3 linked regions of the Diceros bicornis minor genome follow. The protein of the gene in region 1 interacts with the protein of each later gene in a pairwise test. Links are inferred from orthologs where the notes say so. Each region holds a gene or a part of one and is shown on either strand. Other genes may lie near its edges.

Region 1 (10,268 bases):
AGTGAAATTAAGAGGGCCAGCCCAGTGGTGTAGCAGTTAAGTTTTCGGGCTCTACTTCAGTGGCCCGGGGTTTGCAGGTTCGGATCCCAGGCGTGGACCGACGCACCGCTTGTTAAGCCATGCTGTGGCAGCGTGCCATATAAAGTAGAGGAAGATGGGCACAGATGTAAGCCCAGGGCCAATCTTCCTCAGTAAAAAGAGGAGGATTGACAACGGATGTTAGCTCAGGGCTAATCTTCCTCACCAAAAAAAAAAAAAAGAAAATAATCCCATTCACATTAGCATTAAAAAGAATAAAATACTTAGGAGAGATGTACCATGTCCACGCATTAGAAGACTCAGTATTTGTTAAAAAGGTAATACTCCTCAAATAGATCTTTAGATTCAATACAGTTAACTATTAAAAATCCTAGCAGGTTAAAAAAAATTTTTTTTGTTAGAAACTGACAAGCTGTTCCTAAAATTTATTTGGCATGTATATGAAATACAAATAAATTTGAGGGACTTTCACTAAATGATTTTTAATACTTACCATAAAGCTACAGTAATTAAGACAGTGTGGTGCCATTACAAAGATAGACTTTTAGATCAATGCGACAGAATAGAATCCAGAAATAGACCCTCAAATATATGGCTAGTTGATTATCTAAAAAGGTAGTCTTTTCAACAAATGGTGGTGGAAGAACTGGACAGCCATAAACAAAGCACCCTCAACCCTTACCTCAAGAATTTTTACTCTTCAAAAGACACCATTAAGAAAATGAAAAGACATCTAGGAGAAAATGTTTATAAAATATATCTGATAAATGAATTATACCTAAAGTATAATAAGTCTTCCAAGTCAATAATAAAAAGACAAAAAAACCCCCAATTTTTTAAAAAAGGCAAAAGATTTGAATAGATATTTCCTCAAAGAACATACATAAACGGCAAATAAGTATGTGAAAAGATGCTCAATGTCCTTAGGGAAATGTAAACTACAATCACAGTGTGATACCACTAAACAGCTAATAGAACAGTTAAAATAAAAGACTGACAATGCCAAGCATTGACAAGGACGTAGAGAAACTGGAATCCCCATACTTTGGCAGTGGGAATGTAAAATGGTATAGCCACTTTGGAAAAGGGTTTGGCAGTTTCTTTTCTTTTTAGATTATTTTATTGAGGTCATAATGGTTTACAACATTGTGAAATTTCAGGTGTACATTACTATTTATCAGTTTCTGTATAGACTGCATTGTGCTCACCACCAACAGTCTAATTTTTATGCGTAACCATATATATGTGCCCGTCTACCCCTTTCGCCCACCCCCCAACCCCCTTCCCCTCTGGTAACCACTAATCTGCTCTCTTTGTCCATGTGTTTATCTTCCATAGATGAGTGAAATCAGTATGGCAGTTTCTTAAAAACTCAAACATACACTTACCATAAGACCTAGCAATTCCACTCCTAGGTGGAATATACAACAGACATGAAACATAACATCCACATAAAGACTTATACACAAATGTTCATAGCAGTATTATTCACAGTAGCCCCAAAGTGGAAATAACCCAAATGTTTATCAATTGAGGAACAGATAAAAACACGTGTTATAGCCATACAATGGAATATTATTCAGCAAAAAAGGAATACCCTGCTGATACATGCAACAAAATGGATGAACCTCAAAAACACTGTGTTAAGCGACAGAAGTCAGATACAAAAGACAACATATTGTGATTCTATTTATGTGAAATTTCTAGAAAAGGCAAAACTTTAGAGAAAGAAATCATATCAGTGGTTGCTAGGGGTGACAATGGAGACTGATGGCAAACAGGCACAAGAGAACTTTTTGGGGTGAGGTAAGTGTACTAAAACTGGACCGTGGTGAAGACTGTACTACTGTATAAATTCTACAAAACTCTACACTTAAAGTGGGTGAATTTTACAGTATGTAAATTATACCTTAAACAAATTGTTAAAAAATAGACAAAACCAAACAATATACTGTTTTGAGATACACATACATAGGTGCTACTGCCACCTATAAAGAAAAGCAAAGGATTTCAGAATAGAGGTTATATAGAATGGGGAAAGGAGGGTAATTCCATCAGGAAGTAGCACTTAGGGGACATCTATGATACTAACAACGTTCTATTTTTTTCTGTGACAAGTCCAACAGTTTGGGATATGGAGTTAGTAACAATGGTTTCTCCTCTCTTCTATCTTCTATCTGCTCATCTTCCAGTGTTTCAATTTCAATCCTGAGATTTTCCTATCCACAGCCTCATCTCTCACCTGAATCAATACTGAGGACATCATCATCTTCATCAGGAATCTCAATTATTTCTGTAGGCCGGGAAGCTTCATCCTCAGAGCTACTGTCCCGGTATTGTAGTCCCAGTTTTGAGTAAAAGTCCTTCACCAAAGACTCACAATTAGTCACTGCCCTAATAGTGGAACACATGTAGAAAAGGTCAAAGCCAGCAAAAGCAGGTGTAGGAGCCATTAGAATTTATACACATTTAACTACACAGTGACCTCAATTTAAACAGGCCATATTCCAAAGTGTCTGTTTAGAATTTAAAATGTTTTTCCCATAGAAAAATATTTAAATAGTGGTTTCCAGACTAGTTCCTCAAAAATCCAAAATAAGCCCAAAGTAGGTCCTTTCAATCTTACCTCATTATTTACCTTGTCGTTATTTGAAAATGTGTTCTAAGTGACAACTAGGGCACCAGAAACAAATCTTCTAGGGGTTTAGGAGTACATATAGGTCTCTAGGAACTTATTAATGCTCCACAGTTACCTAAGACAGCAACTCTTTACAGTCCCCCTTGATTCTACAAAGAAAACAAAGCAATTGTTCTGAAGTAGAGTGCAGGAGGAAGAAGGGGAAGGGACTCAAGACCTGGACTCCTCTACTGCTGATCATATATTAGCCTCTGATAGATGAATATTCTATATTCATGAGGTCAGATTTTGGACCCTACCCTTTGACGAAGAGTAAGGTTCTACACATCCATACTTTGTAAAGTATAAAGTGTTTGGCACACCATGAACAATTATACTTTAAAAACGTCTGCCACTGGAGAGAATTCCTTCTATTTCCTATGTAGCCCTCACCTGGATGCATCATCAAAGAGCTGGTCAACGTGTGCAACCTCAGATTCTTTCTGTATTACCCATGTCTCCAACTCTGCTAGTTGCTTCTTGCGCTGCTGTACACAGTCCATCTTTTCCAGTTCTTCATCAATGAACTGCCGAAGTTCCTCCATAGAAATACCTAGCTCCTCAACCACTGCTTTCTGCAGCTCTGCAATCTCTTCAGACCCCACTGCAGCTGTTGCTGCATTCAAACCAATGCACCCGGGGAGGGAGGTCATACTGTTTGTCCTCTACATGGAACAGAAAACTAAAATTACCTTTGGAGTCATTATAACCATAATTTCAGTCCCCTAATAAAACTCATTCCTACTCTGCTACTTGTTATTCAAATATAGTTAGGTTTGATTCTATGTTCTCTCTCCCCATTCTCCAGTATCTGATGCTGAGATTTTGTAGAGTTCTCATCTCATGCTATAGACTATATGCCTGAATAAGATTTAAAAGTTTGAGAGTACATGGAGAACATATATTATGCAACAGGGAGCTACTGAAAATAAAAGGAAACTGAAGAGAATCAATTTACTGAGGAAGATATTTCTGTGATCTGTGTTCCTTAACTGACTAATAAGATAAATCTTTGCATGCTATACCTAATTTGAACAAATATCCCCAACCTGAAGGGGAGAGGTTGGTCTATAACTCACTAATTCGTTTTCTGTTTAATTACTTGTTCCCCTTACACTACTTTGCTTCCATGTGGAAATTTACTTTTTAAAAAGTCTCTAATACTTAAGCACACAAAAGCTTGCAGCAAAGAGGTGTCCTCAAAGTTAACGGAAATTAAACAATCTGGAAATAAAATGCGGCTACCTAAAATCTACAATCTAAATAACCCACATGTTGGTGTTAACTGCTTTTTTGCTCAAATGGTTAAAGCAAAACCGATGCCAGAACGCCGTGCGACCCCAGCGCCAGTTCTCACCGCCTCCATTTTTCCTTTGCCCACACACTGCCCCACCCCCGTGCTACCCATTTTAGGGGTGCGTCCCACCCACCCGCAAATCCAGCTCGACCCCGCCCCCGCTCGCCTCTCGGGGAAGACCTCCTTCCCACCCTCGCCCGACCTCCTCCCACAAACAAAACATTCCAGACAAGCCCTTGTTCTCCAAATACCTCAATTAACAGTATTTTCCACACCTCCCTGCTTCCAGCTACAACAGTTCTTTTTCACCAACCAGACCCCAGACTCACGACTCAGGGGTCGGCCTGGATGGGAAAGAACGAAACTGAAGGGAAAAGGAGCAGAGGGAGGGGGAAAAGCGTGAGGGAGGGAAGGGGAAGCAAAAGAGACGCCCGGAAGCAAACCTCAGGTGCTCTTCCGGTCGCCACGACGGTAGCCTGACGGGGTCAAACCCAATGCCGCCGGGTGCCCCTCAGAGGCTAGGCAAACTTCGGCGAGTGCGCATGCGTCCAAGCAGAGCTTTCCAGGGCACACGTGAGAAGCAACTGGCAGGGTAAAGTAGGCGTGGCCTGCAGTACATTACAGAAGCTCTGCCTCTTCCGCTACCCCTAACCAGTGGCAGAAATACTGTTTGTGTAAAGATTCAGTGGGCAAACACTCTTAGGTTTAGATTTTTTTTCTCACTTTTACTTGAGTTTGTTACATAAGTCGTACAAATTGTAACAAGTGGAAGAATATTAAGATGTAATAAGAAAAACATGATAATATCCTCTCCTCTCTGCACCACTTACCATCCCTGCTCCTTTGAGGTAAAACAGCTCAGTTTTCTAGGCTTGTAGGTACAAGGTCATGCATATGGATTTTTGTTTTGTTTTCGTTTAACATGTGGACATCCCTTGAAGTCAATAAAAAGGAAAAAAATTGTCTTTTTGACAGTTGCATACTACTTCATAGTATGGCTAAACCATATTTAGAAATTTAGATTGTTTTCAGTTTTTAGCCACTACAAATGATGCAACAATAAACATTAACATCGTTTTGAAGTAGTACTTTTATTTCTGTAGAAGAGATTCCCCAAAATGAAATCTGAGTAGGAAAAAAAGTACTTTTTTCATTTTAATAGAATCTGCTGTCAAATTACTTTTCAAAAAGGTTGAAACAATTTTTGCTTCCACTAGCAAGTCTCTGCAAGTATCTGTTTCCCCACACCCCCATTAGGATTGGACGTTAACTATTTAATTTTTAAGAATTTGGTATGTGTTAAAATAGTATCTGTATCAGGATAGACTAGGTTATGTTGTGGAAACAAACAACTCCAAGAACTTAAAACAAAAAACGCATACTTCTTGCTCACACTGCATAATCATCCCTAGAAAGTTGACAGTGGAGCTCTGCTCATGATAGCTACTCAGGAACCCAGGTTGATGAGTAAGTCATGCTAGAGGGAGAGAATGCTAGAAGGTCTTGAGTTGGCAATTAAATGACTCAGGACACTTTCATTTACGATTCATTGGCCTGAATGAGTCATAAAGTCCTACCCAACCACAAGGGGGCTGGGAAGAACAGTCATGTCTCATCTCTGGGAGGAAGAAGAACTAGGTGTATTTGATGAACCAGCACTATTGACTACCATAGTATCTCATTATTGCTTTAATTTGTTCAGCTACATTTACACTAATTGCACCTAACTACATCTAAAAAGTATAAACTGGAACCTTCTATGTAAGACTAGAAACAAGGCCCGAGCAGCAAGGATTATCCAAGTCCTTGAAATCTGCTCCTGTTGACCACACTTTTACCTGTGCTCATTTCACCTGTCCACCAGTTTCCTGGGACCACCCTAAGTACCTAAGTCCAATTGTTAAGACATCAGGAATTGAGGTACAGAGAAATGAAGGGCTCCTCTAGATATTTGAAATTCGGCATGTTCCAAACTCATCTCATCGTGGTATTATCTTCTAGCCTGAGCTAGAAGTCTTATACGTAATACTCCCTATAAAACACACACAATATTTATTGAGTGTTTACTACATACCAGGCACTGTTCTAAGCACTTTATGTTATTAATTTATTTACTCCTCATGATAATCCTATGAGGTAGGAACTATTATTAGTTTCTCTTTCTTATGGATGAGAAAACTGAGGCACAGAATTAAATTTTCCAAAGCCACACAGAGCTAAAAAGTGTCAGAGCCAGGCAGTTTGGCCCTACAGCTTGTGGTCTTAAACCGTTATTCAGTACAACATGTTTATACTAGTTTGAAAATGTTTATTACATATTTTCCCTCCTTTCTTTTTCTGTTCTACTGCCTTTGTTTAGCTCTTATTTCTTGCCAGCACAAAATAGCCTCCTGATTGGGAGCCTTATTGTAAATCAATCCTATCTGTAGGTCTAAAATACAGTTCTGGTCATGTCACTCTCCTGCTTTAAAACTGTGTTTTCTTTATGTCTATAAAGTTCAAACTTCATGGTATAAAATTTGAGGCTCTTCATAATTTGGCCCCAGCTTACCTCTCTGGCTATATTTTCCATTCCTCCTTTCACACTCCTGATTATGTGCTATTTCCCCAACATATTTATACATTTCACTTTTACATCTCCATACCTGTGTTCATTGTGATCTATCTCCTGGAATGCCCTTTCCCTTTCTGTCTGATGAAATATTAATTCTCTAAGGTCCAACTCAAATGTCTTCTCTGTGAAGTTTTTGTGGACCAGCGATTGTCAAACTTTAGCATGTATCAGAATCACCTGGGGGGATTATTAAACAGATTGCTGCCCCCACACCACCCCTGGAGTAGGTCTGGGGGAAGTCTGAGAATTTGCATGTCTAACATTTTCCCAAGTGATGCCCATGCTACTGGTACTGGGACCACAGCTTAAGAATCACTGTCCTACACCCTCCCTCACTCCCTGTGGAATTAAATCCTGCCTCTATGCTTCTATTACCTTCGTTCCTTTCCACTTGTGAGGTATCTCTGTATATCTCTGTCTCCTCTGCTTGTTTGTGATCAACTCAAGGCTGAGGTCCTGTCTTAATCATCTTTGTTTCCCCTAGCACCTAACATATTGCTCTGTACATGTGGTGCTCTATAATATGTGATGAAGGAAGGGAAAGATTTGCTCTGCCCTGGTTATGTTTCTGTTAGTTGGATTCTCAGCTTTCTGATGTGTGTGAGGGTAGGGTGGGGGTGGAAATGAGGAATGGGGAATGTTGAAGAGAACAGGGGCTATTTGGGGCATCATATTCCAGTCTGATTTCTTCATTGTCCTGAGAAGGCTGAAGCGGTCAGTCCAACAGAAATTAGCAGTGGGACTCAGGAAGTGTCTTTTAAGGTCTTGCTACGCAACGTGCAATCAGGGAACTTGTTAGAGATTCTAAATCTCTGGCCCCACTCAGGATGTACTGAATCAGAATCTGAATTTTGGGCCGGCCCTGTGGCTTGGCAGTTAAGTGCGCGCGCTCCACTGCTGGCGGCCCGGGCCCGGATCCCGGGCACGCACCGATGCACCGCTTCTCCGGCCGTGCTGGGGCCTCGTCCCACATACAGCAACTAGAAGGATGTGCAGCTATGACATACAACTATCTACTGGGGCTTTGGGGGGAAAAAAATAAAGAAAATACAGTTTAAAAAAAAAAAGCATCTGAATTTTAATAAGACCTTCAGGTAATTTGCTCACTAAAATTTCAGAAGCACTGTAGGAAAGGCAGATTTGAGCTGTATAACCCTTCTTAGGGCAGGGCCTCAATATTTAGGGAGCCAACCTCTGGCTTTGTTTTTGCTAAGGTCTGAAGACTAACTCTTGTCAGAGATGACCAGGCCCTGATATAAACGACTCACGTTATTAAAATTTACAATTATTGTGGTAGACAGTTTATCGAAGTTTAATAATATAAAGTAATAGATAACCAATAGACCCATTGGAATCCTCATGTTGGTGTGCTTAGCACATTCATTCCTGTAATCTGTTGTGATACATTGAAAAATTACAACCACATGCTACTTAATACTTGTCTATAAGAAATCATAGCACAGGAGCCAAAATTTTGGAGTGCCAAATGATACTTCCCATACAGTCAGACTTAAGGGAAATTAAATCATAACCTAAAGGTTGTTGAGTGATCTCAGAATCTAAAGAAGATTAAAGAGATTAAAACTCAAAGAGTTTCAGGCATCAGGAAAGTAATGTAAATGAGCAAAATGGGGTGGGTCACCTAGGAAATACATGTCTTTCCTATAGAGAGCAGTTGCTACTTAGCTCCAGTTAATTTTTATCCTGTCTAATAGATACAATGTTGCCAAATTTCCAATTTTTCAAATGAAGTTAAAAATCCATATTTTTTTATATGAAAGCTTCTGAGTTTTGAATGTTGACAACTAATTCAAAAATTTTGTAAATTCTGCAATACTCTTTAAATCAGCAATTCAACTTCTAGGAATTAAACTACCTACTTCTGAAATTGCATACCTTTAAGTATACATATCTTTGAAATGATGTAAGACTGCTAAATTATCTTCTGCAACATTGTTTGAAAGAACAAAATATTTATTTATTTTTTTTTTTTTTTTACAATTTTTATTTTATTTTATTTTTTTTGTGAGAAAGATCAGCCCTGAGCTAACATCTATTGCCAATCCTCCTCCTTTTTTTCCCCAAAGCCCCAGCAGATAGTTGTATGTCATAGTTGCACATCCTTCTAGTTGCTATATGTGGGACACCGTCTCAGCATGGCTGGAGAAGCGGTGCATCGGTGTGCGCCCGGGACCGAACCGGGCCACCAGTAGCAGAGCACGCGCACTTAACCACTAAGCCACAGGGCCAGCCCCCAAAATATTTAGAAACAATGTAAATTTCTATCAGCAGGGGTTGGTTAAACAAATTATGGCACACCCACAAAATGGAATACTCTTCAGCTGTGTTTTAAAAAAAGGCCAACAACAAATAACATGTGTTGGCGAGGATGTGGAGAAAGGGAAACCCTCATGCGCCGTTGGTGGGATTGTAAATTGGTGCAGCCACTATGGAAAACAGTATGAAAGTTCCTCAAAAAATTAAAAATTGAACTACCATATGATCCAGCAATTCCACTTCTGGGTATTTATCAGAAGAAAACAAAAACACTAATTTGAAAAGATATATGAACTCCTATGTTCACTGCAGCATTACTTACAGTAGCCAAGATTACTTACATTACTTACAGTAGCCAAGATATAGAAGCAACCTAAGCGTCCATTGACAGATGAATGGATAAAAAAGATGTAGTACATATAACGTAATATTACTCAGCCACAAAAAAGAATGAAATCTTGCCATTTGCAATTGCATGGATGGACCTAGAGGGTATTATGTTAAGTGAAATAAGTCAGACAAAGACAAATACCATATGATTTCATTTATATGTGGAATCTAAAAAACAAAACAAATGAACAAACAAAACTGAAACAAGCTCACAGATACAAAGAACAAACTGGTGGTCACCAAAGGGAAGGAGGGTGGGAGATGGGCAAAATAGGTGAGAGGATTAAGAGGTACAACCTTCCAGATATAAAATAAATGTCATGGGGATGTCATGTACAGCATAGGGAATACAGTCAGTAATATTGTAATAACTTTGTATGGCAACAGATGGTTACTAGACGTATTGTAGTGATCACTTTGTAATGTATATAAATGTCAAATCACTATGTTGTACACCTGAAAATAATATAATATTGTATGTCAACTATATTCCATTAAAAAAAGTAAAAAATAAAATGCTATGTTCTAAAAAAAGAAGGCTAACGAAGCTCTTTGTGCATTGATATGGAGTGATCTTTAAGATATATTATTAAATGAGAAAAGTAGGTACAGAACATGGCATATAGCATGCTATTATTTGTGTAAATAATGGCAAAAATATACAGTTTTTCTTACATATACATAAAATATCACTGGAAGGATCTATAGGAAATTAACACCGGTTATCTCTGAGGAGGGCAAATAGAAGGATGGGGGACAAGAGTGGGAGAAAGGGTTTTCTCAGTTCACTATTTTGTACCTTTTAAATTTTGAAACGTGAAAATGGATAGTTTGTTCAAAAATATTACATTAAAAATAAAAAGAAAAGGAAAATGTCTGGAAAGATACAGATACATGCAAAAACAAACTACCTGAACAGCAGTTACCTCTGGAAAGGAGGATTGGGATGCACGGCAGTGTCTAGGAACTTTTTG
Region 2 (10,564 bases), on another chromosome or scaffold:
GTAACCACAACCCCCACCAAGAGATGATCATAGACTTTTAGTAATTCAAAAGAATAGATTAACTATATGACTTAGCAAAAGTTAAGTTTCTGTTCGTAATTAATCTTACTAAAAAGCATTTTATAAATAACAAAAATCACTTGGTGCCCCCAAACCTGTTCTTAATGCTCACTACTCTGTCAAATATTATTTACATATTACTTATACCATTTCCTATCCACTCTGAAACCATTCAATAACACTCTTGCTCTAGAAAACTTACCATGAAAACGCACTTTCACATACAAAAATGAATATATGCTTTACACTAATTTTGTGCATATATATACATAGGTACTAAATAGATTTACTTTGAATCTGTTGAATGTCTGCAGAAACATAGCATGATCTTACCTCTCATCCTCGCCATCCACCAGGGGTGTCGTCAGCGGTAGCACCTTCAACGGGAAAAGAGAAGCAGAGGCTGCTAGGCTGCTGCTACTCCCATCTGAAACTGCTGACATTCCCCCACTTTCACCACTGATAGTCTGAGGTAAGCCAACTAAGGAGGGTTCCGCTGGGCGCCTGGCATCTTCAATTTGGCTTCCAATTGCCTGAGCTAATGATTGTGCAGAGAACTGAGTAGAACTTAGTGGTATCTGTTGTGCCAAAGGCAAATTTATATTAGATGCTATCAAGGGAGGTTGACTAACACTTTGAACCAAACTACCATTTTGAGTGGCAGGGGTTTGTGCTATATTCTGTGATGGAACCAAGTTTGTTGGGGCAGAAGGCATTCCAGAAGGACCAGTTGAACTAACCTGATTTGTAACAGAAATACTGCTAGCAGAGGGCAAAGGACTAACTGCAGGCAACTGCTGAGGAACAACTCCTTGAGCTACTGATTCTACTCCTTGTGGCTGGGGAGTCACAGTTAACAAGGTACTCTGGGGTGCAATGACCAACTGTTGAGGAAGGCTTGAAGCACTAGTTGGAACTCCCTGATGAATACTCGCAGTTTGAGCAGGTGGAACTATTTGTTTAGATGGAGGAGCACCTTGCTGAATAACTGAAGGTGTGACTTGGGTACAGGGTTGCTGCACTGCAGTAGGTATGTTTGCCTGTTGACCAATATTTGCAATTTGACTGCCAGTAGGTACAGCAGATACTGCTGTTTGAGCCTGGCCAACAGGCTGGCCAGATGCCCCTGCAGGTTGTGCTTGGACTGCGGCGGGCTGCACTGGCAGCTGGATACTCTGTGGCTGAGCCATAGGAATTACCGTTGTTCCTGCTCCCACTCCTGCAGAACTGGGCTGCCCGGAGGACACTGCTGTTTGAAGAATCGGCTGCTGCTGTACATACTCTGAAGTAGGATTCTGAGTCACTGATTTACCATGGCCTGAGGCCATCTGTGGAGAAACAGTCAGCTGCTGTTGTCCATACTGTAACTGTTGGGGTGGTGCCCCTGGAAGGGGAGCTTGCAGTGGAGGAGTTGTCTGAGAATATGGCAGTTGGGGTTGAGCCAAACTGGAAATGGAAGGCTGCTGACCTAAAGCTGAAGTTACACCAACCACATTAACAGATGATGGCTGGATACCAGTTGCAGCACTGATAGTGGCTTGCAGAGGTACTGGTTGAAGACCTTGCTTTTGCTGATAGCTCAATTCTTGAGACGGTAATTGTACTTGTGCCATCTGGGACTGAGAAATACTCTGTGGTATACTAACTGCTGGAATACTCTGTGGACCAGTGCTACTGAAATCCATCTGTTGAAGGGCCACACCTTGAAGAGCTGGTTGCTGCTGCTGCTGCTGCTGCTGCACCACAGTAGGGGCTCCCATCTCTCCACTTCCCACACTCTCTGTGTAGTGACTCAGTGTGCTGACACTACTGCTCACTGAACTCCCACTAGTGCTCTCCCTCTCAGAAGTCACTTCTATTGGGTTCTGTTTTACAGTTTCCACCACTTTATTTATCACACCTTCTGTAGCAGGTAAAGCATTTTCTTTTTCATAGAACTCAGTGCAAGTCCATCTACCTTTTTTAAAGGGTTCAGAACTAGAATCTAACTTCACAACTCTGAACCTTGACGTGTTAACGGTTGGTTGTTGCTGCTGACTTGAAACTGATCCCACAGTCATCCCTGCAGCTGCATTAGGGACACTGTTAATAACAGCAGAGGAAGAAACAGTACCATTGCCCATGCCACTCAAGATATTCACATTAACACCGCTGCTAACTCCAGGCCCAACACTCACACTAGCAGCACTAGGAATATTGCTTGCATTTATGTTAGCATTACCAAGCATGCTGCTTGTCACATTAGGATTAAAAGTACCCACAGCACTAATGTTTACATTATTCATCGTATTAGTGCCAGTAACAGAATTTATACCTATACTGCCGGTAGTACTCAGAGCTCGGATATTAGTCATTACAGATGCAGGTGAGCCACCCGATGATACAGCAGAAGTTGGGGCACCTGGTATAACACTGTCAGAGCTTCCAGTTGTAGAGAGTTTTCTGGATACTGGGCTTGAGGGTGGCCCTCCAGGAACGGATGTACTGGCCACACCAGTATGCGATGGATGGTGGTGCCCATGGTGGAGGTGGTGCCCATGATGAATGTGATGGTGGTGATGGAGGTGGTGTGGATGAGCATTCCCATTGATCACAACATTCTGTTGTGGAAGGTGAGGCAAATGAGGCTGAGGAAGGTGGGGCTGGTTGGGAGAGACTGCCCCAGGTGTCTCAGCTTCCTGGAAGTTATTTAGAGTCTCTTCTGAGGAGCTGCGTTCAGGCTCCCCTAAGTCAGTAGCCCTGGAAAGTGACACATCAAGGATCTCGGAAGAAGACAGATCTTCCGTGTGCGATTCATCCAGATCATCATAGCTCTCAGTGTCCTCTGCTATACTGTTGTTAGAGCTGATGCTGGCGGAGATCTGAGCTGGGGTAACGCTAGTTATCTGGAAGCCACTTTTCTTTTTCATTTGAGTTCCGCCTGGCGCAAGAGGCTGTGCCTGCAGCTGAGCCTGCGAAAGGAGGTTCAGGCTTTGTGGAGGCGGAGGCTGTGGTCCCGACGTAGAAGATGCTGCAAGAGGTGGCGGCTGGAGCAGCGATGGAGGCGGAAAATCCTCGGAAGATGTGGCACTACTACCAACGCCGGTACCTGCTGCACTGAGAGCAGAGGCGCTGCCACTACCGCTGCCCCTTCTAGGGAACATTGCCGGGTGCGCCATCTTCCTAGCACTAATGTCTGCAGCGGCCGCGGCGGCGGTGGACTCAGGCGGCTGGTGCATTGTGTCGGGTACCGGGGGGCGGAGGAGGCGAGTGCAATTTCCTTCTGCACCGTAATCTTTGTATTCAAGACGCCTAGGAGGAAAATGGGACTTGACGCTCGGCCCGGCGCGATTCCTCCTCCTCCTCCTCCTCCTCAGCCGAAGGCGCTGGTCGCTGCTGCCTTCGAGGGCGAGCTTCGGGAAGGGAGGATGAACGAGGGTGAACAGGGCGGCCGGGGACCCGAAGGGGGGACCCCTTCAGTCCTTCGCCATTCACTTTCCCCTCTAGTCTCACACCCCCCTTTATATTCCGCTTCACGTGGGGTGCGGGGCAGGAGGGAGGGGGGAGAGAAGGGAAGGGGGAGACCCGGGCAGGGGGTGGGAAAACTGAGAAATGCCCACCTTCTCCAGACAACTCAGAAGCCACCTCAACCACTTCTCCCGGCGCGGCGGCGGCCGCTGCAAAACCCTCCCGGCCGCTCTGCACGAAGGCAGCGCGGAGCGAGTGTCGCCTTCCCCTCGCCACCCCCCGGCGCCGCCGCCGCCAGCGAGCCCCGAGCTCAGTGTCGCTCAAACCTCCCCTCCCGGCCCCGCTGTCCCCGCTCGGCCCTCCCCCCACGCCCCGCGGACCCTTTCAAACCCCCTGGGCTCGCGGCGGCTGCTCCGAGAGGAAACGCTGGCCGCGGCTGGGGCCGGGGCGGCGAGGCTCGGAGCGGGGCGGCGGCGGGGCGCCCGGTACGGTGAACCCAGCAACGAGGCGCGGGCGGGCGCGCAGAGACGCCGGGTCCTCGCGGAGCACGGCCGGGGCGCGGCGGCGACGGTGGCAGCGGGAGCCCAGGGACCGCTCCATCACTGGCAGCCATGGAGCCTGAGCATTTTCCTCCCTCAGGGCAGGCGCCTCGGCTCGGCACACGTCCTCGGGGAGGAAGGGGCCGGCGCCCAAGCCTCCGCGGAGGGCGGCGGGACGTGCGCTAGCGCGGAGGGGTGCGAGCCGCTCTGGTCCTCTTCCTCCGCAGCCGGCTCGTCCTCACCCCGCTGCTCCCGCGGCCCGGGCGGGAGGGGGCCGCAGGCGGCGGCGGCTCCTTTCTCGGCGGCGTTGGTGGCCAGACGGGCTGGTGCAACGCCTGCAGCCGACGCCGTTCAAAGGAACGAGAGGTGGGGTTGGTCGGTGTCGGCAAACGGGGCGGGTGAGTGGGTGGGTGCCGAGGGAGGGCGGCGGGCGGGGAGGGGGCTGTGGTGGTTGTTACTAGTGCTCTTCTCCGGCGCCGCCGTATCCCCCAGTCTCTCGCGGCCGCGAGAGAGGAGGGACCAGCGCCCGAGCGCAGGAGGAGGAGGGGCGACCGCCGGCGAGAGGAGGCGGAGGCGGTGGCGGGGGGAGGGGCAAGCAAAGGAGAAGGAAGGAAGATGGCGTCTGCGCATGCGCCCCAGCGCCGCAGACATAAAGCCGGGTCTGGCGGAGAAGGAGGCGGCGGGTCTTCGGGACTTGCCGAGCGCTGGGTCTCCTAACGGAAATTGCCGAGGGCTGGCGGAGGCGCCGACGCCTGGGGTGGTGGGGATGGGGAATTTCGGCCGGGGGAGCGAATCCGGGTCGGCCTGTGCGAGTCGGCCCGAGTGGGGGTGGGGGAGGGTGCGGGGCGCGCGCGCAGGCTAGGTGTGTCCGCTCTTTTCTCACACGCGCCGGCGCGCGCGGGCACGCGGCCGGGAGGGGCCCGGGGAGGCTGCTGGAGCCCCGGGTCTCGGGTGTACGCGCCCTGGATGGTGTCCACCCCGCCTGTGGAATTGGTAATAAGGCTTTTCTCCGCAGCAACAGCATCACGAGTTTCAGTTCCCAGGAGCCCGCCGCCGCCGCCACCGCCACCGCCACGACATGAGTCAGGCTTTCTTCCTCGGCGCGTGGCGGAGTCCTCCCCCTCGCCGCACCTGGGCTCGCCCTCAGCCCGCGACGCCCTCGCCGCTTCCGAGGATGCCCCAGCGCAGGGAGCTGCGGGGTCCGCGGAAGGCCGGTGGTCTTCAGGATAGGTGCTGCCTTTTGTGCGAAGGAGTAGTGGCTGCCATGCGGTCCCCTCGCCCTTCGACGGGCAGGGGCGAGCCAACCGTGTAGATGTTGCAGCTTTTTCAGTTAACCACCCGAGCTTCTCTTCTCTTTAGAGAGGGAGTGCTTGCCTTCCATCCTTACCTGGAGGGAAGAAGCAGCCCAACCCAGTAAACAAACTGACCTCAACAGGTGGTGCTTCTCTCCAGCAGGGATGGCTTTTCGTCTGATTGTCCAGGCTGTAGCCCCGCAGGTTTGACTTAAAAGGCGAAGTGGCCTAGTCGGGGTGGCAGCACGACTGCAAGGATAAATGAAGACTATCTCTTAGGGTTAGAAAGGAAAAAGAGCCATCTGCAATTCCAGTTAAAAAATAAACAACAAAAAAGAAAACCTGCGTGGGTCTGAGCATAGTTCCACGGAAGCAATGTTAGGCTTGATTGGAGACAATTTACTGGAAGTGGCTTCCCTGGCGTTACTCGTCAAAACATTCTAGCTCTAAGTTCTTTTTACTACTAAGCGAGAATGTACCTCTCGCCCAGGAATTAAAAAATAGCAACAAATATGGAAAACCCCAGAGAGAAGTTTTTATTTTTTTAACTTAGGATGTTGGGGGACTAAACGTTTATGGTTAGACCTCTGATTCAGGATCTCACAGACTTACGGATCTACAATCCTATTTCAGGAGCTTGTTAAAGCATAAACGGCTGTAGTCTTTTGCACAGCTGTCTAAGTTTTGGTAGACATCTAGTTGTCAATTCAACATGTTACCTTTAGGTTTCTCTAAACTTTTTCCCTCATTCCATCCCTCAAAAAGTTAAGAATATCACCAATCTCTTACATTATTAATAGAAATACACCCTCAACATTATTGAATAGAAATACATCCTCAATATATCAAAGCTATGATGTATTGTTGCTGCTTCTGTGGTCTCCTCCAATAAACCCAAAAAAAGCAGGACGGCCTTTTTTTGCTTTGAATTGCTAATGAGGAGCTCTGTGCTAGGTAAAAAGTAGGTGCTCACAAATATTGAAAGTGGTATGGTAATAAAAATCAAGTACATTTAAAAGATTGTACTTGTTTTATGATATTCATTAATTAGTACATGAATGATTGTATTTTACATAGCTATGGCCATTTGTGTATTTAACAAAAATAATTTCTTTCATAGTACTCCAATTTTTGTTGCAAGTGATATGCCTGGTTAATGGCTGCCATTCATTGTTGAAATGCAAATCTAACATGCTTTTTCAACAGGTTTTGAATGGAAAACAGAAACTGTCCTAACCAGTGGAAACTGCAGTGGAATGTAGATGGGCAAAATACATTTCTTTGGACTGCAGTGTGAAAGAAAACACTCTTGATCTCTCAAAATGTTGCCTTAGGTCAAAGTTTTAAATTACCCCAAACAACAGCTCAACACCCCTTGGGCCACTTAAATACCCCCTATAATTGTGCTGATGTAACTAGAAGCAGAAGAAACACAAATAATAAAGTCTTACCCAAAGTTGACAGAGTGAGTTGTTGAGATGACCCTATAAAAGCAGATACTTGTTGTAATAACCAATAGTAAAGGGTATTGTTGTTTTTGGCTGTTTTGATGTTAGGGATTGGGTATATAATTTCTTTTTAAAGGAAGTTTTTAAAAAAAACTTTATCAGGATAACATAAGACACAAGAAAATATGATCTTTTCAAATGTATTTCATCTTTGTCTGCCATATCACTTTCAAATTCCTGTTTAGGCTGCATCAAGTCTCACTAAGATATAAGAGCAACTCTGCAATCATGGAAACCTGAGTTTGAAAAATGTGTCTCTCTCTTTTTTTCTAGTTGCCAGCAATTCTGTGACCAGGAATACGTGAATACAAGTACATTAAAACAAGCAGAGGCACTTGGAACAGCCAGGTGTTGTTATCATGTTACCACCTTTTAATAAAAAAAGTCTGGATTTTTTTACATTAATTTTAAATACATACTCCTACATGTAATGAAGTCATTAAATCCTTTGAGACTAGTACTTCGAATTATCCTTTTGAAAGACTGAATTTCACCTGTTTACATTCTGAAGGTGTAGCTCTGAATTACTGTCCATTGACAAAAGATTACTCTGTAGTGCAGTGTTCACTTAAATCTGGTTATTGCACCATTGCAAACCAGCATGTATGTTTGGCTGTGTTTAGTGTTTTTTCTACCATAAAAGAGAAAATTTGCTGAACATTATAACACAATTTACCTATTTGTGAGAACTGTGAAATAGAATGGCTGTGAGTGGCAAAGATGGATGTTAAAGAGAAATGTGTGCAGAAAACATGCCACTGTTCCACTCCAGTAATTATTCTGGCTAACCAGTGCTTCAGTCAGCCAATATTATCTGTAACCCTTACATGTCATCTGAAAAAAAAAAAGTCATATTTTTAAGCATGAGTTATAAACTTGTAAAACATCAGACATTTTTACATATGAAGAAACTTATGCACAGAGGCGTTGCAGCAAGTTTATAAATCAATTTGCTCTCTAGAAAATTGTTTAAATGAAACGAAAAGTAGTATGTGCCATTTGACTTTTGTAAGTAGCACAAAAAGCTTATTTTGAAACTTTTCATTCAGATTTCAGTGAGAATAGTTTAGCTTATAACTGATTAATTTTTGCAGCATTTGTTAAATTTTCAATATAAGTATTTTTCTCGCCAGCTAAACAATTTTATATCCTCAAAGGAGATAAGCTTATAAAACAAAAAAAATACAGAAATTTGAATTTATGGTTTAGAGGGCATACTGATACTCATTTAATTTTACTTTGAGGGAGGAGGCCTTATTTTAGGAGTAAGAGATCACAGAGATGTTAAATAACTTGTCCAAGGTTTATGCCTAAATATGGATACTCAGGTCCTCTTAATTTCAGATTCCATGCTTCTGTGTTGAGGGATTTTTCTGAAAAACCAGTCTGAACTCTGGAGACTAGTATTTTTCAAAACTCTCTTGGAAATTAATGAGTGTTCCTTTAATGCTTTTAAATGTCAAGGAAGATGTGCTGCACACACGCTAATTGCATACAGCATTTCTTTTACATGAAGAGGATAAAAGACTTTTTCCCTGTTTGAACCAATGTAAATGTTACAGCTTCTTCTACAGTCAGTCTTTTCTGACTTATGAATGTGTTAATTTGGAGAATTTTCCCACAACTTAAAAAAAAATCATTTCTAACTTCTGCTACAGAAGTGTGAAGTAACAGTGAAAAAAAATAATTTGTTAATTTAGATTTTTTTTTTAAGTCTATAATCAAATAACCCTCCAAATCTCCCTGGATGATAGCTAATGTTTATTTAATGTCTACCCTATATGACACATTGTTCTAAATGCTCTCAGTGTTTTATCTCACTTACTCCTCCCAACTGTATAAAGTAGGAACTATAATTACCCCATTTTACAAATGAGGAAAGTGAGATGCAGAGAGGTTGAGGTCTTCCAACTTGGCAAGTGGTGGGGCTAAGATACTGATCCCTGCGGTGTAACCACCCATTCACAGCTGCCTCCAAGACATAGTGTTCAGTCAGGCTCCTGTCAAGTCTAGCTCCCAAGTTACATTTCTACAGAATACTCATGTTTTAATTTTTCTAATTAGACATCTCCAAAGAATCTAGGAGCATCATTTTCTCTTGATGCAGAGACATTCTAAGAAAGAGTGTACATTTTAGAGACTCTACTGTGGCCACAGGAATTGGACATAAATGAACAGAACAACAATTTGATAAGTTGAATGATCCTTCACTGATCAAAAACAGATGTCAAATGCTCGAAAAAAGGCATTAATCACACATAATTGAGGAACACTGTCTATATAGGACAAGATAAATGTTTTCCCATTTTAGCAATTAGCATTTATTGAACACGAGAGCCTCTAGAATAGAGACTATAATAACCTAGTTTTTCCAGCATGTTCTAAGGACCAATTTGTATTTGTACATTTTTTTAGAGACTTAAAGTTACAGAAATAAACGCATTTATCATATTTGTTTGTATCATAATTCTAATAAGGCCTATGTCCTTCCACCATACCTGAACCAAAACCAGGTCAAGAAGTACAAACAAATCATAGCAGCCAGTATTTCTTTGTATTTAAAGATTAGGTTCACAAACACTTAGGTATATCTCAAGTCTCAAAGCTCAAGGGAAAAGGAAAGGCTGTTGAAATCATTCTGTAGTGTGGAATTTTCCTTTAATCATTCATTATCTCCCTCTGCTCAGACTTATCTTTTAGGAGAAGAAAATTGATAAAGTAATTTTTAGTAACTTATACTTAAATTGACATTTACAGTTGCATTGTAGAAGAAAAACAGGAAATCATTAGTCTTAAAGGCCAAAATCTTCTCAGATTTTAATACCTTTAAAAAAAGAAGAAAAGAAAATCTTAGAGACATGCAAGCTAAATTGGAGTCAGGAGCACAAGATAAAATCCTGTTAATATTGTTACCACAGAACATTAAAGACCACGGTACTGTTTACATGTGGAAGGTGTTTACAAAACCTTTCTATATGGATGGTAAAATTAGAATGATTAAAGAGGAAATGTTGGAATTTCAGAGAAAAGCCTGAGATGGAATTGAGGAGGAAAAGCCCAACAAAATTCATTTGTTTTGTTACATACAATATATACACACTTGTCAAGCTCAAGAAAATTAAATCTATAGCTGACTTAGCCTCTTCAGGGGTTAAATATAAAGCTAATTGCAAAGATGCCCACAAAGCTTTCCATCAAAAACTGGAGGAGAAAGTCCAGGTATTTTTTGCCCCAGTTATTAATAGACAGACATGGTATCACATGATAATGCCAACGCAGTTGCTTGATGTTTCAAAAGAGTTTCTAAACACTCTCTTTATTCAAGTCATAATTAACATTCAAAAATAGCTGTTAAACTACACACATCAATACATATTTTGAATAAAATGGGGTAATACTCTGTTACCCCGATGTTGATCCCAAACTATTTGATAAATAAAAACAAGAGTTTTGAAAGGAATACTTCCAGTGAAAAGCATCTTGAGAAACAAGCTGTTTTCTTTACTATGTCAAGCATATGATAGGAACTCAGTAAGTACTTGTAAAGAAGTTCTTAAATCCCATATTATGTAATAATATTGTCAATATGATTTATCACATGAACTTTACTACTGCACTTTTCACAAGATGTTTCTGAAGAACATTAAGTTCAGAAATTATGACATTAGGAAACAAGCTCATTATTAAACTTTTGGTCAAGGGCATCCAACCGTATTAA
Region 3 (11,078 bases), on another chromosome or scaffold:
ATCCGGAATGGAAGTTTAGTGGGGATCCCTGATTGTAGTTCCGGGGGGCCCCAGATGGGGCTTCTTTAGGCAAAGTGATAAGGGGTTTGCGACGAGCCGTATTGGGCACTCAGTAGTGAGCCATGATGAGTGTATTAGGGGATCCGTAGGGAACCGGGATGGGGGCAGGGTTGTCAGTGGGGTTAATAACGGGAGATCTGTGGAGAGCTGTGTTGGGAAGTGAGTAAATCACGTTGGTGTCTGACAACCTGTGGTGGGGTCTGTGAGGAGCCATTTTGGGGGCAATATGTGGTGAGTGGTAGAGTGTAATGAGCCCTTATGAGTGTGTGGATAGAGTGATGGGGTGTTAGCCGGCTAAGTAATGGGAGATCTGGGGCAGAGTGATGGCGTTTATTAGCAGAGTAACGGGGTGTCAGGGGTGAGTGGTGGGGGAGGTCTGTGGAGACCGTGATGGAGAGGTTTGTGAGGAGCTATGATAGGAGGTCTGTTGGCAGAGTGTTGGGGTCTGTGGTGCGCCATGGCGGAGCTGTAATGGAGGAATGAGACACTATGATGGGCGTTCTCTAAGGAGCCATAATGGGGGACTTCCCACAGGAGGGGGATGGTTCAGACCCAGAGCCTCCAGATGCTGGGGAGGACAGCAAGTCGGAGAATGGGGAGAATGCGCCCATCTACTGCATCTGCCGCAAACCGGACATCAACTGCTTCATGATGTGAGCCGGGGAGAGGTGGGCGGGGCTGACACCTGTCAAGGTTGGGCAAGGCCATAGGTCCGGCCCCTCATATCTCCACCACTCGCCCCATCCTCTGCAGCGGGTGTGACAACTGCAATGAGTGGTTCCATGGGGACTGCATCCGGATCACTGAGAAGATGGCCAAGGCCATCCGCGAGTGGTACTGTCGGGAGTGCCGAGGTGAGGGGGGTGGAAAGGACAGGGCAGGCAAGTGGGACTTCCAGGGAGAAGGAGGAGCCATAATGGGAGGGTGGGTCGTGGGGAGTAGTGATATATGTTCTTGGGCAGAGTGAGTGTTGGTCTGTTGTGAGCTAAAGTGAAGGCTCCATTGTGAGCCATAATGGAGGGTCCCACCAGAGGGGGCAGTTCTGCCCTGGACTAGGGGGACAGAGCAGGTGGGTGGGACAGAAAAGGAGAGAAGAGGAAGAAGAGTTCTGGGACCATCGAAATCCTCCAATGTCACCCCCCGGCTCCCCGCTCTGCTCCATAGAGAAAGACCCCAAGCTGGAGATCCGCTATCGGCACAAGAAGTCACGCGAGCGGGACAGCAATGAGCGAGACGGCAGTGAGCCCCGGGATGAGGGTGGAGGGCGCAAGAGGCCTGCCCCGGATCCGGACCTGCAGCGCCGGGCGGGGTCAGGGACAGGGGTTGGGGCCATGCTTGCTCGGGGCTCTGCTTCGCCCCACAAATCATCTCCACAGCCCTTGGTGGCCACACCCAGCCAGGTGAGTGGCTGCAGTGGCTGGGATAGATAAGGTGATCCCACCTCAGGTCCTACTTGAGTTCCTGATTTCTGTTCTGGGTCCCTCCCCCCAGCATCACCAGCAGCAACAGCAAATCAAACGGTCAGCCCGCATGTGTGGTGAGTGCGAGGCCTGCCGGCGCACTGAGGACTGTGGCCACTGCGACTTCTGCCGGGACATGAAGAAATTTGGGGGCCCCAACAAGATCCGGCAGAAGTGCCGGCTGCGTCAGTGCCAGCTACGGGCCCGGGTGAGCCTGGGTGGAGTTGGGCAGGGTCAGGTGGGGTGGAGGGGGCCAGTGTGTCCAGGAAGAGCTAAAATGGGTGGGCCGGGTGGGGTGGGGCCTAATTGCATACAGACAGGTGGGAAGGAGCCTGGCCTGTCCAGATGAATGGGGCCTGACCAGGTGTGCTGGGCCAGCAGGGGAGCCCCCCAAACCCAGGTGGGCAAGATAGGGCCAGATGTTTCTAGGTGATCAGACATGTCAGGGCAGGGAGGGCAGGGCTGAGCATGTCCTGGTGATGAGGGGAGAAGGGGCAGGTGTGTCTGGGGAAGCAAGGCAGGGCTAGTTGGTGGGGCCAAGCACTTGTGGGAGGGGCTAGGGCAGGGCCACCCTCCATCTACCTGGGGCTGACCTGGGCCTTCCTCCTGCCGGCACAGGAATCGTACAAGTACTTCCCTTCTTCGGTGAGTCCAGCCTCCCAGAGCGGGGCAGGGCATGTGGGCAGGGCAGTCAGGGCCAGTCCTGAGATTCTGCCCTGCAGCTCTCGCCAGTGACACCCTCAGAGTCCCTGCCAAGGCCTCGTCGGCCACTGCCCACACAGCAGCAGCCACAGCCATCACAGAAACCAGGGCGCATCCGTGAGGATGAGGGGGCAGTGGCATCAGCAGCAGTCAAGGAGCCACCTGAGGCTACGGCCACGCCTGAGCCACTCTCAGATGAAGACCTACCACTGGACCCTGACCTATACCAGGACTTCTGTGCAGGGGCCTTTGATGACCATGGCCTGGTGAGCAGGCAGGGTCCCGTGGTGGAAGGGTAGAGGTTACAGAAGTAGAGAGTATCCATAATGAGAAGAGAGAAGGCAGAGGATGTGGAAGGCTGATTTGGGAACTAAATAGTTGGTGGGGTAGTCATGGGTGGTACAGATGGGCCAGTGTCTGCCTCACCTGCAGCCCTGGATGAGCGACACAGAGGAGTCCCCATTCCTGGATCCCGCACTGCGGAAGAGGGCAGTGAAAGTGAAGCATGTGAAGCGTCGGGAGAAGAAGTCTGAGAAGAAGGTGATGGAGAGGGTGAAATGGGTGTGGGAAGGCAGAGGGTAGGGTGGGGAGGGAGAGGCAAAGGCTAGGGGCCGCATGGGGCAAGAGCCAGGAAGGGGTGGAATGCAGGGGGAGATGGGTCTGGGGCAGACTTCAACTCCACCCTGACCTGAACTGCCTTGTCCCATAGAAAGAGGAGAGATACAAGCGGCATCGGCAAAAGCAGAAGCACAAGGACAAATGGAAACACCCGGAGCGTGCTGATGCCAAGGACCCTGCATCGCTACCGCAGTGCCTGGGGCCTGGCTGTGTGCGCCCTGCCCAGCCTGGCTCCAAGTATTGTTCAGACGACTGTGGCATGAAGCTGGCAGCCAAGTGAGTCATTCCTGGGGGGTTCAAGGGACACAGGGAGTACGGGGTAGGGCATGACCAGAGCCTTCTGTATGTCTGCCAGTCACCTGTCCCATTTAGTCAACTAGGCACCCACTTATCCATTCACTCACTCATCCATCTATCTGTTCACCCTTCCATCCACCATTCAGCTCATCCATCTACCACTCAGTCAGCTATCTACTTATCCTTTCACCATTTAGTCACCTATCCATTCTGCCATCCTTGGGTTATCCCACTTACTCATCTTGTTGTTTGCCACCTGCCCACACCCAACCCACTGCCTCCCTGCAGCCGCATCTACGAGATCCTCCCCCAGCGCATCCAGCAGTGGCAGCAGAGCCCCTGCATTGCTGAGGAGCACGGCAAGAAGCTGCTTGAACGTATTCGCCGTGAGCAGCAGAGTGCCCGAACCCGCCTTCAGGAAATGGAGCGCCGATTCCATGAGCTTGAGGCCATCATTCTGCGTGCCAAGCAGCAGGCTGTGCGCGAGGACGAGGAGGTAAGCAAGCACAGGCACAGCAGTGCAGGGCCCAGCACCTGGTCCTGCCCATCCTCATTGTTCCTTCTACCCCATGCAGAGCAATGAGGGTGACAGTGATGACACGGACCTGCAGATCTTTTGCGTCTCCTGTGGGCATCCCATCAACCCACGTGTTGCCTTGCGCCACATGGAGCGCTGCTATGCCAAGGTCAGGTGTTAGCCTGAGGGGTAGGGGACCCTCAGTGGGCCCATGGGCGGTCAGATGTGTCTTCTGGGTCTTGTCTTGGGAGGGCATGCAGCACACATCCACAGTTCCCTCCACTTGTGCTCATCCCTCCAGTATGAGAGCCAGACGTCCTTTGGGTCCATGTACCCCACACGCATTGAGGGGTGAGTGTGGGCGCCACGTGGAATTAGAGGAGGGAGGTTAAGGCTGGGTTCAGGAGTGGAATGGTGGGGCAGGATATGGGCATGGGCAAGGATAGGTGGGCCCCCCTCCTCTGTTTCCATTACCCTCTCTCAACTCTAAACCGCCAGGGCCACACGACTCTTCTGTGATGTCTACAATCCTCAGAGCAAGACATACTGTAAGCGGCTCCAGGTGCTATGCCCTGAGCACTCACGGGACCCCAAAGTAAGGTTTCCCCCCAGCTTCCCCATTCTGTCCCTCCTCCCTTCCTATTGCCCCTTATTTAGCCCTTCCTTCCTCTCCTCCTTTCTTGCTTTTTTCTACCCGCCCACTTCCATAACCCCCACTTTCCCTGCCTCATCACCCTCATTCCTCCTCATCTTCCTGTGTCATCACCTTCTAGTTCTCCTGTTTTCCCTGCCCCTTCATCCTCTAGTCCTCTCCCTTTCCATTCCTTTCCACTCTCCCCTGAACTCATTCCTTCCCTCCTTCCTCCCTGACTACTCCCAATCCTGTTCTCCTTCCTGCCTGACCACCCCACATTCATCCCCATCCCCTGGTCTCCTTGCAGGTGCCAGCCGACGAGGTATGTGGGTGCCCCCTTGTACGTGATGTCTTTGAGCTCACAGGTGACTTCTGCCGCCTGCCCAAGCGCCAGTGCAACCGCCATTACTGTTGGGAAAAGTTGCGGCGTGCTGAAGTGGACCTGGAGCGCGTGCGTGTGGTAGGTTTTGATGCTGGATGTGGCCAGGGTCCAGCTGGGCTTCTGGAGCCCCTTCTCATGTCGCCTTCTGCTCCCCTGGCAGTGGTACAAGCTGGACGAGCTGTTTGAGCAGGAGCGCAATGTACGCACAGCCATGACAAACCGGGCAGGACTGCTGGCCCTGATGCTGCACCAAACGATCCAGCATGACCCGCTCACTACAGACTTGCGCTCCAGTGCCGACCGCTGAGCCCTACTGGCCCAGAGGTCCTCACACCCTGCATTCCAGGCGGGGGAGCTGCCCTGAATCCCCCATTTGACTGTTCTGCCATTCTTCTGTTTCTCCAGTCATCCCTGAGTTTCTCCCTGTGCCTGTCCACCATTTGCCCCTCTGCCCTTAACAGAGGGTCTCAGAATTTTCTCCTGTTTTTGTCTGTTCTCTGTCTCTCCATTCTTTGTGCCTGGGTGGGACTGTGGAGTCTGCTCACCTTTGCCTTCCCCCTCTCTTGGTTTTGTTAATAAAATTTTGAAGAATCAAGAAAGATAACTACTGATGGTCTCCACACTTTATTCAGTTACAAAATCTCTGGGGTAGATGGGGCGTGGCATACCTGTACTCAGGAGGGGCTGCAGTGTACAGCTGGCACCCACTCTGCTCTGCAGACCCCCCCGCCCCCTGTGGGCTGTGGGGATATGACCTGCTGAGGGAGAGCCCAGTGACCTACATTCTCAGCGTCTCATTTTGAGACAGTGGGTATACAGTCAGCATTCATTCAATGTCTAGCCGATTTGCCACTCCTGTGTGAGCGTTAATATTCTCCAGACCAGAGGTGTATTCAATGATGGACACAAAGCCTCCTCTTTCTCCACAAACCCCTCTTTTTGGAGATGCATACAGCAGGAGCCCACCGAGTTTGTGCCGGGAACCCCACCCCGCCCTCTCTTGTTGTCGGGTCCACTCGGCCCCACAGCGCGGCCTTTCCCGGATGGACCTGGCCTTCTGTTTACCTGCAGCGCGGCATCGCCCCCTTCCCGGTTCCTGCGGCAGGAGCGGGCGCCGGCGCGCGGCGTGACTTGTCTCCGCGCTCCTGCAACTGTTCAGCGAGGAGGAGAGCGCAGGGCACAATAGGCCTGGGGGAGATGTTCGGAGGGACCGGAGAGCACAGGCTCGACCTAGGCGTGAGGTGGGAGAAGGCGGCTCCGCACAACCCCGGGCTTCGCCGCCCCTCCCTCCCGGTTACTCCTTGCGGAGACCGCCAAGGAGTAACCAGGCGCGCTCGACCAACCCCAACCCTCCACGCCCCCTTAGGTTGGGACTGGAGAGCGCAGGCGCAAACGAGGAGGGCGGGGTGGGAAGAACGCGCCGGTTGGCGAAGCGAAGAGCGCAGGCGCTACAGGTCTCCGCTAGGGGCGCGAGCAGTAGTCGGACGTCAGCGAGCAAGCGCAGCAGGTCCCCGGCAAGGGACGCGCGCCGCTGCGGGACTCAGCACGCAGGCGCAGGGTCCTCCCTAGTAAGGGCTGGTGCCGGCACGGTATTAGCGCGCAGGCGTCCCGCCGGGGGCGGAGCCCAAGAAGCGGGCAGTGTATTTCCGGTTCCGGGAGCAACGAACGGCCGCGGCGGCGACAGCTACCGCTTGAGGAAGAGGCTGCGGAGGAGGAAGAGGAGCAGGGCAAGGCGGGAGTCACAGGCGGGACCGTTGTCATGGGTCCGCGGACCTAGAGCGGCGGGAGCTACCGGCCCGGTGCCGAACTGGTGAGACAGTCGTGGGGGTGGAAGTGGAGAGCGCTGAGGTGGAGGATGGGGAAGAATTGAGGCTCAGAACGCTGACGGAGAGGAATGAAGGGCCCTCAGGCCCATGAGTGGGAGGAATGGCGGCGTCGGAATATTGAAGGGGAGGAATGGGGAGATTTAGGCGGAGGGCGGGGAGGAATGGCGCTCGGAACACTGACAGTTGGTAGTGTCGGGATCCTAGACGAGGACGGAGAGCAATGGAGGAGGATTCGAACGCTGAGGGGAGACATCGGGGCCTTTCAGGTTAAGGAGAGACAAGTGAGGGTTCGGGACGCTGAGGGGGAGAATTGAGGGGCCCTCAGGTCAGTGAAGGGGAGAAAAGGGGGCGTTGCGATGCTGAAAGGGAGGAAGGAGGGACCCATATGGAAGACGAGGAGAAATAGGGAGTGAGAACGCTGACAGTTAGGGATGGCATGATCCTGACGCAGGAACAGAGAAGAATGGAGGCTTCGGAATGCTGAGGGAGAAGCCAGGGTCTCTCAGGCAGAGGAGAGGAAGGGAGGAGGAGAACGCTGAAGGGAAGGAGTGAGGGAACTTTTCAGCTGCAGAGGAGAGGAATAGGGAGGTTTGGGGGCTGAGACTGGGGAGTAGTTGTGGTTCAGAACACTGACAGAGAGGGGAAATAAGGAAGGGGAGGCTTTTAGGCTGAGGAACAGAAGGAATGAAGGCCTGTTCAGGTCAAGGATATGGAGGAGTTGGGGGCTCTCTGGCAGAGGACATGGAGGAGACTGGGGCAGTGACACTGAGGTAGCAGGATAAGAGGACATCAGATAGGGAAGAAATGGGAGGGTTAAAAGACGTAAAGAGAGCAGCTGGGGACTCCTGGGTCAAGGAAGGGAGTGAATAGGAGGTCAGAACACTGAGGTAGAGTACTAGGACCTCAGTCTGAGGACGAGCGGAATGGGGGCCTCTTGAGCTGAGGATGGGACGAATGAGGCCTCTCAGGCTGAGGATGGCGAGTATGGAGGTTTCGGGGTGACAGACGGGAGGAATAGCAACCAGTGGGTCACAGACAGAAGACAGAGAGATTGTCTCCTGGGCCTAGGACAGGGAGAAATGAGGGGGAAGGATGAAAGGTTCCTAGGTTGGCAGTGGGGAGAAACGATGGGCTCTCAGGCTGAGGATGGGGAGGAATAGGGGATACTGAGGAATCAGGATACTGAGGAATGAGGACCCTTGAATTGAGAATGGGGCTACCAAGTCAGGAAGGGGGAGGAGTGACAACCTCCTGGACCCAGGACAGGGAAGAACGGGGGTTTTCTCTTCCTTATATTGGCCAGTTGCCTGTGGCAGGTCCTAGGTCTTGGGCAAGCATTAATAGATACTAGTGGTTTGTGTGGTCTTGGTCACAACAGGTCCCCTCCTAGAGCCTTGGTTTCTCCCATTGCCTCCTCCACGTTGCAGGGTGCTGCTGCTTCCCGTGGCCCCAATGGCTGAAGACTGGCTGGACTGCCCAGCCCTGGGCCCCGGCTGGAAGCGCCGTGAGGTCTTTCGCAAGTCAGGTGCCACCTGTGGACGCTCAGACACCTATTACCAGAGGTACTGGGTGGGTTGTGGACAGAGTCGGGGTAGGGCTGAGCCTGGTTAGGCAGGGTGAAATCAAGGGGTGTGGTTAAATTTATGGGTGGGGTTAAAATTAGGTATATACAGTCAATCTTCATTATTTGCAGATTCCGTATTTGCAAATTCGTCTACTCCCTAAAATTTGTTTGTACCCCAAAGTCAATACTCACTGTGCTTTCATGGTCATTCGTGGATGTGCACAGAGCAGCAAAAAAATCTAAGTCACCTGATGCATGCATTCCTAGCTGCCGTTGAACGAGGGCCTTCTCATTTCAGCTCTTATGCTGTAAACAAGTGTTCTTTTCACAGTCTGCTTAATACCATGTTTTTCTCATTTTTGTACTTTTTGTTGGTGATTTTGCTGTTTGTGATGGCCCCCAAGCATAGTTCTGAAGTGCTATCTAGTGTTCTAAGTGCAAAAAGTTCATGATGTGCCATAAGGAGAAAAATATGTGTTAAATGAGCTTCGTTCAGGTGTGAGTTGCAGTGGTGTTGGCTGGGAGTTCAATGTTAATGAATCAGAAACACTGTATATCTAGAAAGAAAAGAGGAAATATGCCTATTTGTACATGAAGCTGCTCCAGAAAGTGCTAAAGTAACATCTATAGTATGTGATGAAGCCAAGGAAAAGGTAAAAAGTGGCTAGATTTGTGGATCTGTGAGATGTCCAGTGAAATAAAGTGTAATGGACAGTGTTGTGAGGCTGAAAGCCAAGGACAGTGACAGTCGTGTTACCCAGGGTTAGGAAAATGTTAAACCTATCTGAGCTAGTGCTGGCTGGTTCACACATTTCAAAAGGTGATAGATACATCATGAAAAATGTTAAATTTGTGTGCAAGGCAGGTTCTGCAGATCAAGTTTCCAGAAGAATTTTAAAAAATACCTGCTAAGTGTTATTCGGGAAAAGAGTTATGTTGAAGAGTAGGTTTTCAATGCTGATAAGACTGGCTTGTTTTACCAAGTGTCAGTGCAGATAATCAATGATCATTCTATAGTAAAGTAAAGACGAGAGCTTTATTCGTGACAAAACTGAGGATTATAGCCCGGGAGTCACAACCTTCAAAAGTGAAGAAAGTGCCCTGGAGAAGAGCGGTTTTTGGCACAGTTATATACCATTTCAAAACAAAGATACATACATCAAGCATGACGGACACATTCCTTCAAGGGTTCAAGGAGCACATACACAGCAGATCAACATGACTCTGGTGTCATGGGAAGGGAGACTCATCTTCAGAGAATACTGACATCATAAGAAGGGAGGCATTTATTCATTATCTTCAAAGAGTACATTCCTTAGGGTAATAATTAAAACAGATGTGCAATGTGCCTTTGACAGGCTGTAAGTGGGGCTTCTCTGGTTCAAATAAAATTCAGGCCAGATCAAGTTTAAACCAGAATGGCTTCCCCATATACTTCAATATATAAAATTTCTTATGTCAAAGGACGTTGGCAAAGGAACCTATGTAACACAGATGGCCTCCAAAGCTCCTGGCTTTAAGTCATTCAGAGGCCATGCAGTTCATTATTTGTAAGATGGGTATATTAAATAGGGTGTCTTTAAACAGAAACACATAAAACAAGGTTACATATTGATCACTTGACAAAAGTGTTGTGACCAGAGGCTTGCAGGAACCTAACTTGTAGTTCCACTAGGAGCAGTTGTTTTGTATTTACTAATGTAGTGTTCAAGGTGACTTTATAGAACGTAACTACCATGAATAATGAGAATCGACTATAAATATGTAAACGTACATGTTTATCAACAGTTTATGCTTAAGGATTTAAGGTGTTTAAGGATACATTAGTGATGTACTTATTAAGTTTTTTACACTCTTCCTGAACTGTTTTTATATCTAAGTTGCTGTTTTCCTGAAGGAATATAGTAAAATTATAAATACAATTACATTTGTTTATATTTAGTTGTAAATTTATTTTCATATTTGCAACTTGGATAAAACTTTCAAAGTTTATAAATATAAGTGTAATTATCAACAACTGTAAAAGATCAGAGATTTTACCCTAATTAGGGCAAAGTAACAGGTGGGTATGTCACAGTTTTGTGGATGCTGGTAGGAGATATGAGACTCCTAGGTCAGAGATGAAAGACAGTTTACTACTCACAGCAATAGCAGTATCCAGAATATCAGTTTTGTGCCAGTTCCCCTAACACCAGTTCCCAGAGGGTAACATGAAGAGGGCTAACTACCACCTGCACATACACTGGATTGTGTTGTAGGAAAGGAACCCTGAGTTTAAGGAATCTAATTTTTTATAATGTTAGGACGGTAAGGATGCCTTCCGTTTACTGTGGAAGGAGACCCTATCTCTTATCTTCCAAGGCTGTTTGCTCTACAAACATCCTTGAAAAGACAGTTCATAACAAAGGACAACCAGTGCCACTCTGGCAAGACATGCAGAAATGCAGGAGACCTGTGGAGTATCGTCTCCCAACACCAGTTATTTATACTTTATTTTGTATGTAGTTGCATTCATTTGTTTACACATATATTTGTGTATGTACATTTATTTACATGTGTATTTTTCAACATTTGTTTATTTAAGTTTACTTGTTTATATATTTAGTATGTGATGCTAACATATTTACATGCTGTTTGATATATTTGTGTTCCTATTTGTGTTTATTTTCACCTATATAGAATACCGTTAGTAGCATATGTTATAAATATGTGCATATTTGCATTTGTATTATTTATTAGTGTTCGTGTACATGCTGGTATTTATACACCTTTTGTATTCCTGCTGTTCAGGGTTATTTGTAGTAGGGCCTGATGAGGGCTTCCAGGCTGGTCTCAGGCTGCCTCCTGTATCCCACCAGCCTGCAGGCCTCTTCACCAGCCCAGTGGGAGGATTATGTGGGTGGAGTAGTGGTGGCTCCAGCTGGGTACCAACTCATCCTGGCCCACCCCCAGCCCTACAGGAGACAGGATCCGAAGCAAAGTTGAGCTGACCCGATACCTGGGTCCTGCGTGTGACCT

What was found.
Region 2: the proteins of SETDB1 (region 1) and TSC22D1 interact in a two-hybrid assay, tested with the Homo sapiens proteins (2 studies listed by BioGRID and IntAct). The link is inferred for Diceros bicornis minor from reciprocal best matches to the Homo sapiens genes SETDB1 and TSC22D1.
Region 3: the proteins of SETDB1 (region 1) and MBD1 interact in binary tests that used the Homo sapiens proteins (3 or more experiments, as listed by UniProt). The link is inferred for Diceros bicornis minor from reciprocal best matches to the Homo sapiens genes SETDB1 and MBD1.

Annotation. Positions count from the first base shown.
Region 1 is NC_080743.1:55,270,086-55,280,353, reverse strand, and holds the start of SETDB1 (histone-lysine N-methyltransferase SETDB1), read right to left. Parts: upstream 4,429-10,268; 5' UTR 4,265-4,428; intron 3,382-4,264; 5' UTR 3,370-3,381; coding exon 3,110-3,369; intron 2,434-3,109; coding exon 2,282-2,433; intron 1-2,281. UniProt on the Homo sapiens protein: Histone methyltransferase that specifically trimethylates 'Lys-9' of histone H3. H3 'Lys-9' trimethylation represents a specific tag for epigenetic transcriptional repression by recruiting HP1 (CBX1, CBX3 and/or CBX5) proteins to methylated histones.
Region 2 is NC_080748.1:32,051,800-32,062,363, reverse strand, and holds the start of TSC22D1 (TSC22 domain family protein 1), read right to left. Parts: upstream 4,219-10,564; 5' UTR 4,121-4,218; coding exon 3,888-4,120; intron 3,837-3,887; exon of another isoform or gene 3,660-3,836; intron 3,453-3,659; exon of another isoform or gene 3,352-3,452; coding exon 394-3,351; intron 1-393. UniProt on the Homo sapiens protein: Transcriptional repressor. Acts on the C-type natriuretic peptide (CNP) promoter. Acts to promote CASP3-mediated apoptosis.
Region 3 is NC_080755.1:42,769,708-42,780,785, reverse strand, and holds the start of MBD1 (methyl-CpG-binding domain protein 1), read left to right. Parts: upstream 1-6,314; 5' UTR 6,315-6,480; intron 6,481-7,923; 5' UTR 7,924-7,948; coding exon 7,949-8,058; intron 8,059-11,012; coding exon 11,013-11,078. Other genes in the region: CXXC1 (CXXC-type zinc finger protein 1), read left to right, coding at 595-713, 814-914, 1,225-1,460, 1,552-1,728, 2,139-2,165, 2,243-2,488, 2,655-2,762, 2,932-3,116 and 6 more. UniProt on the Homo sapiens protein: Transcriptional repressor that binds CpG islands in promoters where the DNA is methylated at position 5 of cytosine within CpG dinucleotides. Binding is abolished by the presence of 7-mG that is produced by DNA damage by methylmethanesulfonate (MMS).